Tribolium castaneum: one gene and its partner. The protein of the gene in region 1 binds, or shares a complex with, the protein of each later gene. Links are inferred from orthologs where the notes say so. Each region holds a gene or a part of one and is shown on either strand. Other genes may lie near its edges.

Region 1 (4,004 bases):
GCCGAACGAAATCTGCGTCATCCAGCAAGGGATGCGATTTTCGGTCGAAATTGAGGAACCGTCCCGTGGTTACATTTTGGAGGTGTTCGGGCAACACTTCACTCTCCCCGATTTGGGCCCAATTGGGGCGAATGGTTTGGCCAACCCCCGCGATTTTCTCACTCCTGTGGCATGTTACGAGGATCGTAATGTCGCAAAATACGAAGTCGTGGCCAAATACCAGGGCAAATTGTTTGTGTGTGAACAAGACCACAGCCCGTTTGACGTGGTGGCCTGGCACGGTAATTACGTGCCGTATAAGTACGACCTTGCCCGCTTTAATGTCATCAATTCGGTGTCTTTCGACCACTGTGACCCCTCGATTTTCACCGTCCTGACGTGTCAGTCTGAGAAAAAGGGCACGGCAATTGCCGATTTCGTGATTTTCCCGCCGCGTTGGTCCGTTCAGGAACATACGTTCAGGCCGCCTTACTACCACAGGAATTGCATGTCCGAGTTTATGGGGCTTATTTTCGGGGAGTATGAGGCGAAGAGAGGGAGTTTTAGGCCAGGAGGGGCCACTTTGCACAGTATTATGACTCCGCACGGGCCCGATTTTAATTGTTTTGAGGCGGCAAGTGTCGAGGTTTTGAAGCCGGCCAGAGTGGCTGATGGGACCCAGGCCTTCATGTTTGAGAGTTGTTTGGGGTTGGCTGTCACCAAGTGGGGGGCTAAGACGTGCCAGAAGCTGGACCCGGAGTACTACCAGTGCTGGCAAGGGCTCAAGAGCCACTTTACCGGCCCGAAATGAGATTTTTCAATAAATTACTACGTTTACAATTCGTGTTTTTGTAAATAAGCCTTTTTAATCCTGATTTATAAATCAGGAATTGAAGATAATTTTTTATGCAATTTCTATTCGACCTGTGTCATAAAATTTTTTTAATGAAACTTGGCGGAAATGTTGACTGTTAGCGGGTAATAAATGATTAAAATTCGAACGATTGTAAATAAAACAAGTGTTCTGGACAAAGTATTTATTTATTTGTAAAAAATGTTTAAAATATTGTGGATAACATAATGTTTCAGTTTGATAAACACAAATGGTCACACTTTCACTTAATTACTTCAGTAAAGGAAACGAGAACGTGGTATGCTTACAGGTAACACTAAAACTAAACATAAATAAAAAAACTAGACTAATTCGCTGGAGTTTCCATATCGGCCTGTTGCTCGGGCTCCTCATCGTTATAAATATTCTCGGCCATTTGCCACACTTGCATAATATTATCCTCAGACACGGAACAAATAACCCACGGTTCGTTGGGATTCCAACTAAAATCTAAGGAAAAAAAATTAAACGCTAATTACACTTTGATAAAAATTACGAAAACGTTAAGTAAATACGACTAAAGATTATTTACACAAAAAAAAAAAAATATCAAAAAAGATTATTAATTTACCTGAAATTTTGGCCGTGTGGCCCCCATGTATGAAGAGGAGCTCCGGAGGCCCATCCTCTGCATCCTCCGGACTTTGCTCCTCTCCGATTTTGCTCAAATCCCAGACATGCAGCCTGCGATCGGTCCCCGACGACGCCAGAATAGTCTCATTATGGGGGCTCCACTGCACTTGGAAAATCTCATCCTTGTGCGACTCAAAACTGTGCAATTTCAACTTAAGATTCCTCAAATCCCACAAAGCTACAGTCTTATCAGCGCTCCCAGTTGCAAGAATAAACTCCGAATAGGGGTTGAAACTGAGACAGTTAACCTCAGCAGTGTGTGCATCGACAGTGTGCGACGGTTTGCTCGTATTGTTACACCTAGTGTCCCAAATCATCAATTTCTGGTCGTCTGCGACCGAACCGAAGAGACTTTCGTGCAGAAGGTGCCAGGCGACGTCCTCCACCACGGCAGTGTGCCCCGTAAAAATGGTCTTCGCGTCTATAATTCGGTTCTCTTTCGGGGTCGCGTTAATGTCCCAGAGACAGATCGTGTGGTCATCGCTGGCCGAGAGCAAATAGCCGTTCAAGTTGGGGTTCCAGGACAGCCCGTAGCCCTCCTTCTGGTGCCCCCGGAGTCTCAGGTCCGGGTGGCACTCCCCGTTGGGGTCAGGCTTGCTGGGGTGCTTCGTATAGTCGAACACTAGCACGTCGCTTGAGGGGGTTTTTGTGGCTATAACGCACGGGTTCTGGGGCATGTAGCGAGCCCTGTTCACCTCTCCTTCGTGGTTGATTTTAATTTCAATCTCAATTTTCCCCGAAACTGAGCCAAAACCGCCAAACTCGCCCTTTTCGTTATCATAGTGCGAGGCATCGAACTGAGCGTCTTCGTTCGGGAGCTGGACGCTGGCGATCAGGAGGTGGTTTTGCTCGTCGGAGGTGTGAGTGCCGAGGATTAGGCGGTGGATGGAGTGGTCTTTGCCCTCGGGGCGCGTTACATCGGGCAGCCACTGGGCGGTTAAAGAGGGCCACTCGAGGGCATGTGTCATTACAAGGTCGTACAAAAAAGGGGTGTTTTTTTTCCAGATCTTGTACTCTTCGTTGATGACTCGCTCCTCGACCGCGTCGTCGAAGGTTTCTGTGTAAGATTTTTTGTGCAGTTGACCGGGTTTTAAGGTTACGTTCGCAAAGTTACAAAAAAAGCGTGATTTTGGCGAGGCAAACTAGAAAATACTTACCGGAGTCTCCCTTATCCCCCATTGTTACAACGAACACAAACGAATAATGTTAAAATTGATAAATTCAAGTAAAAATGAATGAGCCGTCCACTAAATATGACGCTAGCCCGCCAATTTGGAACAGTGGTGCCACAACGCCACAAGTCAGCAGATTCAAATTAAGCAAACCGTGGCCAAAATTTTGGCGGTGGTACGTTTTGATTTAGCTAACTCGATGCTTCATAGTCATGGTATTCCAATGTTTTATTAAAAAAATAGAAGGAAAAAATATATAATTGAGAGCCAACGTGGCAACAGGGAGTAAAAATTATGCGACTGAAAGCGATGAGCACGATTGTGTGTTGAACCGAAAACTTTAAAATTCACAATTGAATTAATTTTCAGTGATTTTTTTTAATATAACTTATAATCAGGTTGTAGAAAAAATAGAGTATGCAGCTTGAGTCTGGTTCACTAATTTTTCAGCTCAAGTTAACACTTTAGGATTTATTAAATAATGCACGTTTACTTACAGAGGTGGAGGTTAAAAAAAAACTCAGGTAACTTAAGAGGGTTTATTCAACGAAATATAAATGGAATCTCGGGCAAGATCACAATATTGAAGATAATCATTAAGGCACAAACTTTCAAAATTTAAAAAAGGGTTACTCAATATTAAAAAAATAATTAATTGCACCTAAAACGTAAAAATAAATAAAAATAAGAGCAATGTAAAAATGAATTAAGTAACTTGAGGAACAGGGCGATAAAAATTTATTTCGAAAAATTTGGGTAAAAAACTACGAACTCGAAGCTACACTAATATTACTAACACTCGTGGCGCGACTGCTCGGCCTCAAATCCACGTCTCTTTTAAAAACAGCGAACCCTTGATTAACCAATTCTTGTGCGATATCGACGTCCTTTTCACCGTTCACATCGAACAAATCAACACCGGGGACCGGAGAGCCCTCGCGCTTCGCCCTCGTCTTCTCCCTAACACAATATCCGTTAATTTTCGCCGACAGTTTCTTCCACTGCGCCACATGTGTCCACTCTTCGAATTTATCCACGGCTTCCACCGACCAACTCTCTCCCACGGGATCTAAAAACCCACTTACCCACCAAACGCCCAAAAAAATAAATAAATAATCGTACCAACTCGTGCTAGAAAACACTCAATTGCTTGAAAATGCAGTCGGAGGAAATCGGTCCTCAACTCGTACAATTCCTCAACGGGGACCAAATCCGTGTCCCCGTAATCAACATAGTAGAGTTCAGCTTGGGGCGGGTTATCGTCACTCAGACTGAGCACTTCAGCCCGGTACCATTTGCTGTCGTATTGGAACACAGCAGCGACAAGA
Region 2 (4,068 bases), on another chromosome or scaffold:
AGGTCATCATTGCGGTTTAAGACTATGATCCTGATTATGATGACTTTTCAAAAACTATTAAAGGTTTTTCGTTCTTGCGAGCTGGAAATTTTTTGTACCTAAATAAATTATAATCTAGCTGTAGTACTTCTTATTTCAGTGCACCGGGCCATCAGCAAGTGAAAATACATGAACAATCGATGAAAATAATGTCGCAATCTTACAAATTTACTCACTCTAGACCATTCCAACAAACAACTGTAGCAAAATTCGTGCATGCAGGAATTGGCCCGACATTTGTTTTTGCACGTCCCCAAGCAGATAGCACAGTGTGGGGGCGGGCTAGCGGTGTCAGCACGGGGGCTTGCCAGTTTACTGTCTGCCATATCACTAAAACTCGATTTCACTGCAAATGCACTCCGGAGATGAATGAAGTCATGTTGATTTATCCACTAGTTCTGACCTTGCGAGTTTCGCGATTTTCCTACGATTAGACACACTATCCACTCACGCAACAACAATACTGCACCAAAAACGCTAATTTTAATGCTTTTTTAGCCTCCAAGTTGCTCTAATTTAAGAAAATACCACAAAAATCACTTCTAGGAACGTCTTGTGTACCGATCATGGAGTTGACATAAAACATCTGAAGCAGGGGTGCCAACGCAATCGGAAAACTACACCAGCTGCCACCTGGTGATTTTCCTGTTATGTAATACGGGGCACTTCCGAAAAGTTTAGTTCGGGGCGGAAAAAAACAACGATGCGGTGTATTCTTACAAAAGTACCAATTTTATTTAGTGACATAAAATTATAAAATAAATATAAATTCAGAAACACATTCTTTAAATAGATGCAAAAATTAAACTGAAGCATGCTTTATAAGCGAAACAACCCAAAGGACAACAAGAAAGAGACCTAGACCTACCATGGCAATAAAATTACAACTTCAACCTTTGGGCGTCCTTTCTAATAACTGTATATATTAAAAGATATAATTACGAAAACAATTATACAAGAAAAATGGTAGACTAGTTCTATACATGGTTTTTGTTCAGTAAGGTTTCATTTACTCAGTGAAAAGTCTATATACATTACACGTAGTTAAAAAGAAGTAAAGTGAAGCCGTAAACGAAACCTCACTCCGGTGATGCTTTATTGAATTTAGCCGACAAATCTACAATACAATCGTTTGCACTAAATTATTTGTAAAAAAGATTCTATTTACAAAGTGTAAACCGAATCGCATATGTACAAAATTTTCTTAAAAATTTAAAGAACGAGGTTTCAAGCTGGTAGTTCTTAAAAAATTGTGTGCTCGTTTAGTAAGGTCGATCTGGTCCTGCGTCTTGCCGCACGCAACCATGGCCCACATCTTCTCGATCTGGAAGAAAAACGGAACCTTACTATCAGGCGGCGCTTTGCGGACGTGGAGGGAGGGAAATGGGCGAGTGCTCACCTTTGGAGCTTTGGGCCTAGTATCCTCAAAAGTGATCCGCTTGGCGGCGGTGCTTCGTGGACCAGGGGCGCGGGAGGGGGCACTGGCAGATGGCAGGCGCTGCCGGGACAAGGATAAAAAAGCTACAATACCACCACACAAACGACCACATGCTGATTCCCCAAGCCTAGCATTAACACCCCCAAAGAGCCCCCGCGAAAGAGGAGCAACTTAATTTCTTAAAAACTAGGAGAAAATGCGTGGATTCTCTGTGCAACAACACTACTTACTTAAGTACTCAAGTGCTCTATCTACACAATATCTTAGTAATAATTAAAAACAACCGGGCGTGACTATTCTGGTAACGCTAAACTTTGTTCATTGTTGCATTTATGCTTCGCATTTTCTTCAAACCGTAATAACAACACAATTAACAATCAAAATAAATATTTAAAGACACAAATGTCATAATAATAAATCAGTTGCCTTGTTAAAGAACATTTCCGAGTCTCAGCCGACATAACCACGTGACCGAGGTTTAACCCCGTCGGTTGTGTCAGCGCGACCGGCCCCTGATAGTGTGACAATACTTGCGTTCTCTGTGCGATGGCAAAAGCTGACTGAAGAACAAAAAGAGGAATGGTAATCATGGACTTTGGTGACTTTATGCGCAACTTTTAAGTTGGCATAGACTAGAAGGTGAAGTGTAGGTACGACTCACGGTACATGCAAGATTGGTTTTGTCACTAGACTAAGAAATTTTCCAAACAAAATGTGGCCAATAAAAAATAAAAACAAGTAAATGTACAAAAAAAAAGAACTACAACCTAGACCTAAAAATCGAAGAAAAATAGAATTTCGAAGCGATTAATCCCAGACACATGTTAATAAGGGACCATGGGAACAGGTACAGGATTGTTAACTCAACAAAAAGGGGGCAGGATTAGGAGGGGAATAAATTATCTCCGAAATGAAACCATCCATGTACCTTGGATGATCCTGACTGAGCAAAATCCATCAGTCCGGTCACTCCCAAAGAGTCTTTCATTATCGAAGACGGCGTGGAGAACAGAGCTGAGGGATCGTCGCCCAACGATTTACTCTAAAACCAGACAATTAGTACAATGTCGAAAATTTGATTCGCAAAAATCGCAACTTACGGGAGTTTCCACAGCGAACGACGACATATCCTGCGACGAGGTGGAGGCCCAAGACGGCGCCAAAGCCTTCCGCACTCGCTTATTCGGAAGAACGTTTTCCTTGCCTTCAGCGAGCCCGTTCCCATTTTTTCTCTTCCCCGTCATGTAACCACTATCATTCTAAAAGTCAAGCACACATCAATAAAAAACACCACATTAAACTGTGACTAAATTACTGTAATCATCAGACTGGTGTCGGTTTCGTAATTCGAACTGATATCTTGGTCCTTCTTCATGATTTCCGTGATGTCTTCCAGACGAGTTGGCGTGTCTGGGAGGTGCGTTATAGGGCCGGACTTCTTCTCCAAGTCGGCTAAGGCCTTCTTGAAGGGCGTTGGGGTACGGGGCGTGTCCATACTTTGGAACGAGCGCTTGCTGGGTGTCACCGTTGGGTCGGTTGTGGAACTCAGCATTTCCACCTTGACTGAAAGACCGTTGGGGGTGCTCAAGGGACTGTAGTCCTATAAGAAAAAAATTAAATATTGTGGTCAGAAGACGAGTTGAATGTTTCGTACAGGTTTTAACGATCGATCTTTCAATGGTGTCGTCGGGAATCTCTTGACGGGCGTTGAGGATAAAGGCATCTCTAAAAAGCCAGGACTGTTGAAGAACTGTGAAGGGCTGAACGGCAACTGTTTTATCGGGGAGGTGCCATTGTTGTTGGTTGGTTTCGTGCTGTAGCCCAACATAGACGCAAATTCGTCGATGTTCTACAAAATAACAATGGACTGTAATCAACTGAATTATGCCCAAATATTAAAAACATGGCCATTAAAAGCGAGCTGCATATTTTATTTTTTCTACAACCCGTCATCATAAACAATTATTTAATTTTGAAATCAAAAAACCTCACAGCCACAACCAACTTTGATGACTTATAGACTCTCAAACTTCCCCTCCTCTGTTTTTTTTTTGCTCCAATGCAATTTGCATTTACCGTTTTTAATTTTCCAATCATTAATTCTGCCTTTATTAAAAAAGTTACAAAGTTTGCAAAGGTACGAATTGCTCATTATTTCGATAAAAGCTATCGATTGGTATAAAAAAAATTGGATTTGAGTGGTCATTAAATTTCCATAAGATGGAACCGTTCCCATTTTATTGCTTCTTTCAGAAAAAAAAGATTACACATCTCTTGCTCTTTTTTTATGCGACTGTGCCTTAATTTAATTATATCTCTGAATAAATTTACACAGTTTTTGTACTAGATATCACTACTTAAACCATCATATTCAAGTCAATTTATTGCCTTATTATAATAACTAACAAAAGAATGATGAAACATTTTTTTCATTTAACAAATAAAAAAACAGTTGTTAAATATCTAACTGATGATTTGTTTGTCGCTGGTGAAGCCAAAATAAAATTTCGTAAATGTGCGGTTTAAATCGTTTATTAGAAGGCACAGAGGTCTTATCTTCGAAAGTGGTATTTCGCACATAATTATCTAAT

The links. Proteins that work in one complex are often made in the same cells at the same time.
Region 2: Caf1-55 (region 1) and Myb share a complex: the UniProt entries of both Drosophila melanogaster proteins name them as parts of the DREAM complex. The link is inferred for Tribolium castaneum from reciprocal best matches to the Drosophila melanogaster genes Caf1-55 and Myb.

The regions. Positions count from the first base shown.
Region 1 is NC_087399.1:661,835-665,838, forward strand, and holds Caf1-55 (histone-binding protein RBBP4), read right to left. Parts: upstream 2,822-4,004; 5' UTR 2,684-2,821; coding exon 2,662-2,683; intron 2,562-2,661; coding exon 1,443-2,561; intron 1,322-1,442; coding exon 1,179-1,321; 3' UTR 1,002-1,178; downstream 1-1,001. Other genes in the region: hgo (homogentisate 1,2-dioxygenase), read left to right, coding at 1-790; tudor and KH domain-containing protein homolog, read right to left, coding at 3,441-3,745, 3,799-4,004. UniProt on the Drosophila melanogaster protein: Core histone-binding subunit that may target chromatin assembly factors, chromatin remodeling factors and histone deacetylases to their histone substrates in a manner that is regulated by nucleosomal DNA.
Region 2 is NC_087396.1:14,748,569-14,752,636, reverse strand, and holds the end of Myb (myb-related protein B), read right to left. Parts: intron 3,327-4,068; coding exon 3,132-3,326; intron 3,078-3,131; coding exon 2,793-3,077; intron 2,737-2,792; coding exon 2,578-2,736; intron 2,520-2,577; coding exon 2,406-2,519; intron 1,538-2,405; coding exon 1,439-1,537; intron 1,364-1,438; coding exon 1,244-1,363; 3' UTR 751-1,243; downstream 1-750. Other genes in the region: E3 ubiquitin-protein ligase Topors, read right to left, coding at 216-365. UniProt on the Drosophila melanogaster protein: DNA-binding protein that specifically recognizes the sequence 5'-YAAC[GT]G-3'. Component of the DREAM complex, a multiprotein complex that can both act as a transcription activator or repressor depending on the context.